Linked DNA regions of Ovis aries. The protein of the gene in region 1 interacts with the protein of each later gene in a biochemical or structural test. Links are inferred from orthologs where the notes say so. Each region holds a gene or a part of one and is shown in the gene's direction. Other genes may lie near its edges.

Region 1 (4,431 bases):
GCTGTCCCTTATTGCCACCAAGTCCGCTCATATTTCTTAGCCTCTATCATAGGGATGCCCTTCCCCAGGTTCCAACCCCCGGACACGCCCCCACCTTTCCAGTCCCGGTCCCCTTTCCAGGTGGCCGACCCGCCACCTCTCGCGTGGCTTCCTGCCCGTTTCAACAGCGACAAGCTCGACTTGCTCTTCCCAAAAACGGGAAAATGAGGGGCAGTCTTCTTCCTGCTGATCTGGGAGAGGGAGCATCTTGGGGCATGAAGGTCCGTTTTCTTCCCGGTGTCGGGGACCAGCATCTGGATGACCCTATTTTTCCCGCTGACCAACTGATAGTCTGCGGGGTGCAGGTGGCTCTCTCGACAAAGTTTCTCCGGGAATCGGGCGACCCCTGCCCACCTCGGGCTTCCAGTCCCACCCTGAAACTCCACGCTGACGCCCCCGCGACCCCCAGTCTGAGCGTCCTGGGGAGTTTCCTTGCAGAGTTGCTTGGGGAAGGTTGCCCCACTTCGGGGTTAAACGGCAATCACAGCCAGCTCGGGACTCGGAGGGCCACCCCTCCTCCCGCGTCCCCGCCCCCCGCCCGGGTCAGCGTCTTGCAGCTCAGTCTCGGGCTCTGAACAAGAACAGGGGCCCGAATCCGCGTTCACACGGAAAATTATGCCAGCTCCAGCGGCGCGTAAAATTGATGTGAACCGAACGAAGTGGGATCGGCGTGATCCTCCCTCTCTTGTCTCAACAGGGGTTTCGGAGCGTTACACAAGGCCGAGCTTGTCTCTTTAAGGAGACATTGGACCCTAATTAGTCCGCATTCCTGGCGCGGCCCGGAGCATGGGGCCGTGGATGTTTGGGTTGGTGAGGGGCGGGAAGGAAGACGAGACTCGGAAGATCTTCTGACTAACTTCCAGTCTTACCGCCCCCTGAACCCTCTTTATTTTGCCGCCACCACCGCCACCAACATCCAGTTCTGAAGATGCAGCCAGGGCAGCAGCAGCAGCAGCAGCAGCAGCAGCAGCCACCGCTGCTCCAAGGCCCACGTTACTTTGATTGACAGCCGAACAAATGTTTCCCCGGTTCGAACGCTCGCGCTCAGGAACGTCAGCCAAGGCGAAGCTCCGCCTTGGGCGTGCCATCTCTGCCCCGCCTCCGCTCACCCCATTTCGTTGCATTCATTGGTCCGAGCCACGGACGACGCCCGGGCCCCACGTGGGTTCCATCCAGGCCGGCTCCTCCCCTCTAGTTCGCCATTTGTCAGCAGTGAAATGATGGGCAGTAACACAGAACGGCGATTAATGTTCAGCCATCTCTGATTGGTTGTTGGAGACGCCTACCGCGCCGGGGGTGGGCGGGACGCTTGGAGGGCCCCCCAAAGTGGTCGCGTGGCTGGCCGGTGATTGTAGTCAATTTGGCTGAATCTTTGGCTACCGTCGCTGGAGGCGGACTACATCTCCCGGGATGCTCCGCGGTCCCTCCAAGGACGGTTGTGAATATGTATCAGAATGTTAATGATTAGCGGCTGCTAAATTTGGTCAAAGAACTCACCTACACAGAGCGTGTTGTTAGAGCTGTTCTGAGCGGGTGTTTCAGCTGTTGGCTGCTTTCTTCCCCCTCTCACACACTTATATATTATTTTGAGGTGCTGTTCGCAGAGTTTGAAAGGAGAGAGAATTAAAAAAAAAGCCGCAAGCGTTTCACTCTTTTATTTTTATAATCCCCTTCAATTTGGGGTTAAAAAAAAGACAAGAAAACAGGAAGGAAGAAAAATAAGGAAATGAGATGTGGTAAAAGAAGCTAAAAGGTGCCTTTTAAAAGATCGTTGCTGTGAGGTGAAAAAATCTCCAGAGAAACCAAAAGCACCGCCGAGACCTCTTCCGAACCAAAGGAGTTTGTGTTTGCTTTTAGGAAAGAAGAGAGAGATCATTCATTCGGAGGAATAACAACCAATTAAAAGACAAATAAAAAAAAGTTTGGAGTGGGACGCCGAGCGAGCCAGCGAGCGAACGGGCGGCGCTGCCGGCGGGCGCTGGGGCGCGGAGCTCGCACTTTCCCGTCCCGGGTGAGCCGCGCGGCTGTGGCGCCGGGCTCGGCGGGCGCGCCTCAGCGGAGCGAACGTCGGAGCGTTGCCGCGGGAGACGCGCGCCGGACAATGCCCGCGGCGGGCCAGTGACGCCCGCGGGGAATGCGGAGCGGTTCGGCAGCCCGCACCCAGGCGCCGCCGCCGCCGCGCGTTCTTGCTGTCCGCGTCACGCGAGACCCAGCGGGGGCCGGGACCGTCCGAGCCGCCCCTCGGACCCGGCCGGCCGCCTCCGCCGCCGCTGCCTCCTCCTCGGGGCCATTAAAGCCAATGAGCCGCGCGCCTCTGCCCAGCGCAGCCAACTAAATCGGTTTGGATGATTCGCGACCTGAGCAAGATGTACCCGCAGACCAGACACCCGGTGAGTGCGGGCGGTGGGGGCGCGGGCTTACCAGGCGCCGGGGGATTCCCCGCGTCGCCCCCTGCGCGCTGAGTTGTGTCTTTGGCCTGAGGGGCGTGGAGGGCGGCCCAAACCCCGCGCGCAGCTCGAGAGTCGCCCTCCACCCCCCGCCCCTGCTCTCCCCGGGCGCGAGGGCACTTTCGGAGAGGGGGTGCGGAGAAGCAATTGAGTTGTAGCCATTTTCTTATTGTTGTCTTTGAAGCCCCTGGAAGCCGCGCGGAGCTGTTCGCCGTCCCCGCGCCGCGACTCCTGGAGGAGGGGTGGCGAGCGATGGAGGAGGCGCGACTCCGCGCCGGGGCGGGGAGGGCGCCCTCCGCGGCGGCGCGGCGTGTCCGGCGGCGGCTCGGGAGTGCGGGGCGCCGGCCCTTCGCTCCGCGGGTCCCGGAGATCAGCGAGCCAGCCGACGGACCGACCGGGAGAGTGTCTGCCGCGTGCCCCCTCCCCCGACCTGACCGCGGCCCGACGCCATGGCGCGCGTCCCCACGACGGGCCAGTTTCGATTCCGGGTGGGGAGGCTGTGGGCGCGGTGCGCCGGCCCCGGGGCCCCCGCCGTTGACGTGGGAAGGGAGCGGGGTCTCGAGCCCGCGGGGTCCCGGGCGGGCGCCAGAACGCGGGGGCCCGGGGCCAGCCTCAGCCTGGCTGTGCGGCCAGGGGAGGGGGCGGGAGGAGAGTTTTCCACGTTCTTTGCCTGAGATGACACCCCCCACCCTCCCGCCAGTGCCGCGTGGTGGTTTCTCCATCTCTCTGCCTCGCTTCTGCTGTGGGCTAATTAAATATTTTATTGTTGTTCTTTAGGCACCGCATCAGCCTGCTCAACCCTTTAAATTTACCATTTCCGAGTCCTGTGATCGGATTAAGGAAGAGTTTCAGTTTTTACAGGCTCAGTACCACAGGTAAAGATATTGACTTTAGCTGATCCTTCTGTTTGCTTAGCTCTTGTCTTCTCCCAACATACAACACCCCCCCCCCCCCGTTTTTTTTTTTTTCCGCCACCACAAAGGTATTACCATGTTTCCTTGTGGGCAGAAAGGGCAAGTCAAGGCCTCTTTTCCCTAGGCAGGTGTAAAGAAATTAAGCGTTTCTTCCTTTTCCCGTAAATTAAAAAAAAGGCCAAACAATCGAAACTGGGGACACTTGGAAAACGCCGAGGCCAAACTTTCAATATTGATTTATTGAGGCCAGGCGAATAGACGGTTGGGAACATTCTGGGGCCTTTTGACTTTCTTGGTCCTTTATAATTTCGGGCTTGATTCCTTCTTTCTTTATGCCATTCCACTGAAACCGAGAGCCCAGAGCCTTAGGAAGTCGCCAAGTAGGCGATTTCATTACTTTTATGCTGAAAAGATGTTTTCGTCTGAAGAGACAATCACTAGATCTTAGAGTGCCTTTGAAATATTTTTCTTTCGCTAGATTTTTAATGGCTTGTACTTCTTATTTCATAAACTACAGAACCAAAACAAGCCACTGAACCTGATCCATGCCTTGCCCCTGGGTGGTGGTATTCAACTTGTCTCTGTGTTTTGGAGGGAAAAAATAAGACATCATTCATAAGACATGCTTGATTCATATTTTCATTAATCTTTTCGTGGAACATTAAAAGAAAAAATTCCCCTGTGACATTTTTAGGGGACCACTATTGCTTGGAGATGTAGGCATTATTGATGTTTATTTCCTCGTTAATGTTGTGTTTAGTGAATTTAGTGAATATTCATTTCTGAATGAGATTCTGTAGTTAATTGGCTAGAGGGTTTTTTCTTAAGCAAAACCCCCCACATTTGATCCTTGTTGAAAGGACAAGCTGGGACTGGTTCCACTCACCCTTTTCTCTCCTGCCTGTTTTTCCGTAATGAGGGTGGTACTTAAGATAGTTGATATGGTGTTTTGTAGGTGATGATTTAGAGGAGGGAATGTGTATTTGAAGGATGTAAGTCAAGATCTGGGTTGTATTTAGATTTCCTTATTT
Region 2 (3,659 bases), about 5.6 Mb from region 1:
GTTTCCCTTGCCTTCCCTTCCCTGCAAAGATCCTGAGATGAAAGTGACATGTTTCTACTCAAGGTGTATTATTTCTCCACCTGGGATAAGAGAAACACCTCTGGTTAGCTGGGAGAAAGCATGAAGCTCTCTGATTGCTAATGGTTGCCTCTTTACATCAAAGTAAGACAGAATTCCTCCTTTACATAAAATAAGTCTTCATTTAGTAATCCATCCAAAAAGCATCGGCTAAGCCCCTGCTATGCAACCTGTTGTGGAGACTAACATTATAAAGGAGTAGGACAAAATCCCCCGTTCTCAAGGGCTTCTTGGTCTAATGGGGACTATCACAAAGAGCCCAGAGCCCAGGTTTCGACAGATGTTTTCAGACTTCCCTGATGGCTCTGTGGTAAAATCCGCCTGGCAATGCAGGAGATGAGGGTTTGATCCCTGAGTTGAGAAGACCCCCCTGCCTCACCACCGGAGAAGGAAAAGGTGGCTCGCTCCCGTATTCTTGCCTGGGAGATCCCATGGACAGAGGAGCCTGATGGGCTACAGTCCATGGGATCACAAAGGGTCAGACATGACTTAGCGACTGAACAACAACAATTACAGAGAGAAGTTTGTGAATACTGAGATCAGGCTCAAGAAGAAAGTAGGGGTGCTGTGGGAACAGAAGAGAGGGATGGACCAGCTGTGCTGAGCTGGAGTGAAGAGGATTGAGGGAAGTTTCTGGGGAAATATCTGTGTCTGGGATTTCATTTGCAGCTTTAACTATTTCAGGTCCTATAGCAATGACTACTAAGGGTAACTGATAATATTCTTTCAACTGGGTGAGAGGAATAATTCCACTTGACAGTCAGCAGAATGCCTAATCTCAGAAGTTGGTATAAAAACCATATCTTATGTGTATGCCACCCCTAATAGCTTATAAACTTACCAAAGAGTGAGGAAATGGAAGCTTTAGAGAGAAGAAATAACTAGCCCTCGGTCACATGGCCAGTAAGTGGAGAAGCCAGAATTGGAACCTGGGTCTTTTGAGCTAAGTGTGATCACAAAATATTGGAACAAATGTCATCAGCTCTGTCAGCAGCGTGGTGAACCTTGGTTACATGTGGTTGTTGTTGTTTAAAGTATCAAATGACTTGTGATCTTCTTTCTTCCTCTGTTCTTTGCACCTTAACACAAAAAAGGTTGTGAGATTTGCATAAATCTATTTTGAGGCGCTTCTTCTGGTGAAGGAAAAGAGAAGTTAACGATTTCTACTTCTGTGTCTCCCAAGGAAGATCTAAAATCAAACTCAACTATGTGAAGAAAGCTCTGTTCCCCTTAGGTCTGGAGGGGCAAAAGCTGGATGTGCTCCAAGAAAAGCAACAAACAGCTTCTCAACGGATCACCTCCATCTCCAGTATTTTCTTACGCTTTAGAGTCAAAAGCAGCTCCACCTGCCTCCAGCTAGTTATGGCCAAAGGAAATGTGCCTGAGATTGGTCTACAGGTTTTAATGAACCGAGAAAGAATTCCCACAGCCCAGAAATGGAAATTCAGCTGTACAGCTTGAGAGGCCCCTGATGACCGAAGGGCCTCCCTCTTAGATTCTGGGGCCAGGAGTTAATGTGAAACTTGCTGAAACCTCCCCTCCCCCTTTCTTATTCTTAGGAACTTAGATATTAATACCTCATTCACAGTAAGTCATCAACCCACGTTTGGGGGCGGAAGAAATCTAGACTTTAAGCCAGACGACCCAAGGCTGAGCCCTGGTGCTACTGCTTATTAGTGTGATGACTTTGAGCCAATCATTTTGCCGTATGGAGGCTCAGTTTCTTCACTTGATAAATGAGAATGAATAATAGCATTCAGTTATTGCAAGCATCAAACGAAAAATACATTATTAATGTGAAGCATATTATTGTTTTTTCATTATTCATTGGTGAGGAGCAGATTACTACAGGGCTTAAGACTTTAGTTCTTGGGTTCCAGTCACTGCACTGTCTCATTAGCTGTGTGACTTTGGGCAAGTCACTTACCTTCTGTGAACCTTGATTCCCTTACCTTTCCAGTGACCTAACTTATAAGTTTGTTCTCAGCATTAAATATGATAATGCAAGAATGCCTGGCATAGAGTAAGTTCTCAAAAAAGATGAACATTATTATATATCAATGTATATATCATAGAGTATATTAATATATATAATATATATATAATATATATATAAGACTTCCTTGGTGGCTCAGATGGCAAAGCGTCTGCCTGCAATGTGGGAGACCCAGGTTCGATCCCTGGGTTGGGAAGATCCCCTAGAGAAGGAAATGGCAACCCACTCCAGTACTCTCGCCTGGAAAATCCCATGGACGAAGGATCCTGGTAGGCTACAGTCCATGGGGTCGCAAAGAGTTGGACACGACTGAGCAATTTCACTTTCACTTTTAATATTGTATAACTAATATTAAAGATTAAAATCCAGGTAAACTGGAAGGAGAAAAGACAGTGAGGAACTATTAAAAAAAGAGACAGTCTTCATTAGGTGCTTTGCTGGCTATGTGTGTGAGTGTGCAGATACTTATGTCTGCGTGGCTGGGTGGATGTGTAAATAGGCAGTGACCCTGCCTAAATAGTATGTTGTTTTTAGCACTGGCTGGCTGTGGGCTGCAGCTCCCCAGTTTCTCTGCTCCATCCCCCTGCTTCCTGCATCCTTGGATAGGCTGGGTTTGAGTTCCTTTCACCGCTGTCAGTTCTCTTGGGAGGGGGGGCGCTCTTATCTTCCAGGTGTGGCTGCTGTTCAGGGGGAGGCATCCTTAGCACGCCCCCCACCCTCTCCGCTCGGCGCACCAAGCTGGTGTTGGGGGAGTGCCTTTGTTTTGGCCCGATGGCTGGGGCCCAACCTTCCTCCTCCCCGGAGCCGCCTCCCCCCCCACGCCAAGCCTCCTGCCGGGCCTTGACCGTCCTCTCCCTCTGCGCAGTGTCCACGGGCTCCGTGACGCAGGTGTCCTCGGTGAGCACGGACTCGGCTGGCTCCTCCTACTCCATCAGCGGCATCCTGGGCATCACATCCCCCAGCGCCGACACCAACAAGCGCAAGAGAGACGAAGGTAAGAGACGCTGCGCGCGCCGTCGTTGGGGATGGACCCACCGGCTCTGAGGGATCTGTTTCCAGGCCCTTTGTCAGGAGCGGGAGCACAAATGACTGCTATGCGCTCCCCTTACCTGCGGAGCTCTGGAGGCGCCGGGCCCAGCCTCCACCTGACCCTCGGGGAAGGGGCTAAGCCTTCTGGGAAAGGACGAGGGGCCGGCTGGGACTGGACTTCTCCCTGGCCTCCTCCCATCTTCACCCTTTGGAGGGAAAGGCAGTCCTGGCAGGACTCCATGGCCTGTGCTTTGCCACCTCTAGGAAGTCGGTCCCTTGGCAGGTGTGGGGGTATGAGCACAGCAGCAATGGCCCCTTTTGGGGGGACCCCTGGGGAGAGGATGGATCTGGGCATAGTGAGAGGGGCACCCCTCCTGTAGTAGGCTTAGCGAGTGGGGTCTCTCCCAGGCCTTCAGCGTGGTGCTGGGAGGGGGGTGGTTGAGGAAGTGAATAATCTCATCTCTGTCCTTAGGGCCAGTGCAGGGGCCTCCCAGGGATTAAATTGATGTCAATCTTCCCTGTTGGTTTTTCTCAACCCTCAGTATGCTGCCCAGGC

The links. The genes of interacting proteins can lie anywhere in the genome.
Region 2: the proteins of TLE4 (region 1) and PAX5 form a complex in vitro, tested with the Homo sapiens proteins (2 studies listed by BioGRID). The link is inferred for Ovis aries from reciprocal best matches to the Homo sapiens genes TLE4 and PAX5.

Annotation. Positions count from the first base shown.
Region 1 is NC_056055.1:57,304,480-57,308,910, reverse strand, and holds the start of TLE4 (transducin-like enhancer protein 4), read left to right. Parts: upstream 1-1,542; 5' UTR 1,543-2,384; coding exon 2,385-2,429; intron 2,430-2,719; exon of another isoform or gene 2,720-2,935; coding exon of another isoform or gene 2,936-2,974; intron 2,975-3,263; coding exon 3,264-3,361; intron 3,362-4,431. UniProt on the Homo sapiens protein: Transcriptional corepressor that binds to a number of transcription factors. Inhibits the transcriptional activation mediated by PAX5, and by CTNNB1 and TCF family members in Wnt signaling.
Region 2 is NC_056055.1:51,690,543-51,694,201, forward strand, and holds part of PAX5 (paired box protein Pax-5), read left to right. Parts: intron 1-2,939; coding exon 2,940-3,068; intron 3,069-3,659. UniProt on the Homo sapiens protein: Transcription factor that plays an essential role in commitment of lymphoid progenitors to the B-lymphocyte lineage. Fulfills a dual role by repressing B-lineage inappropriate genes and simultaneously activating B-lineage-specific genes.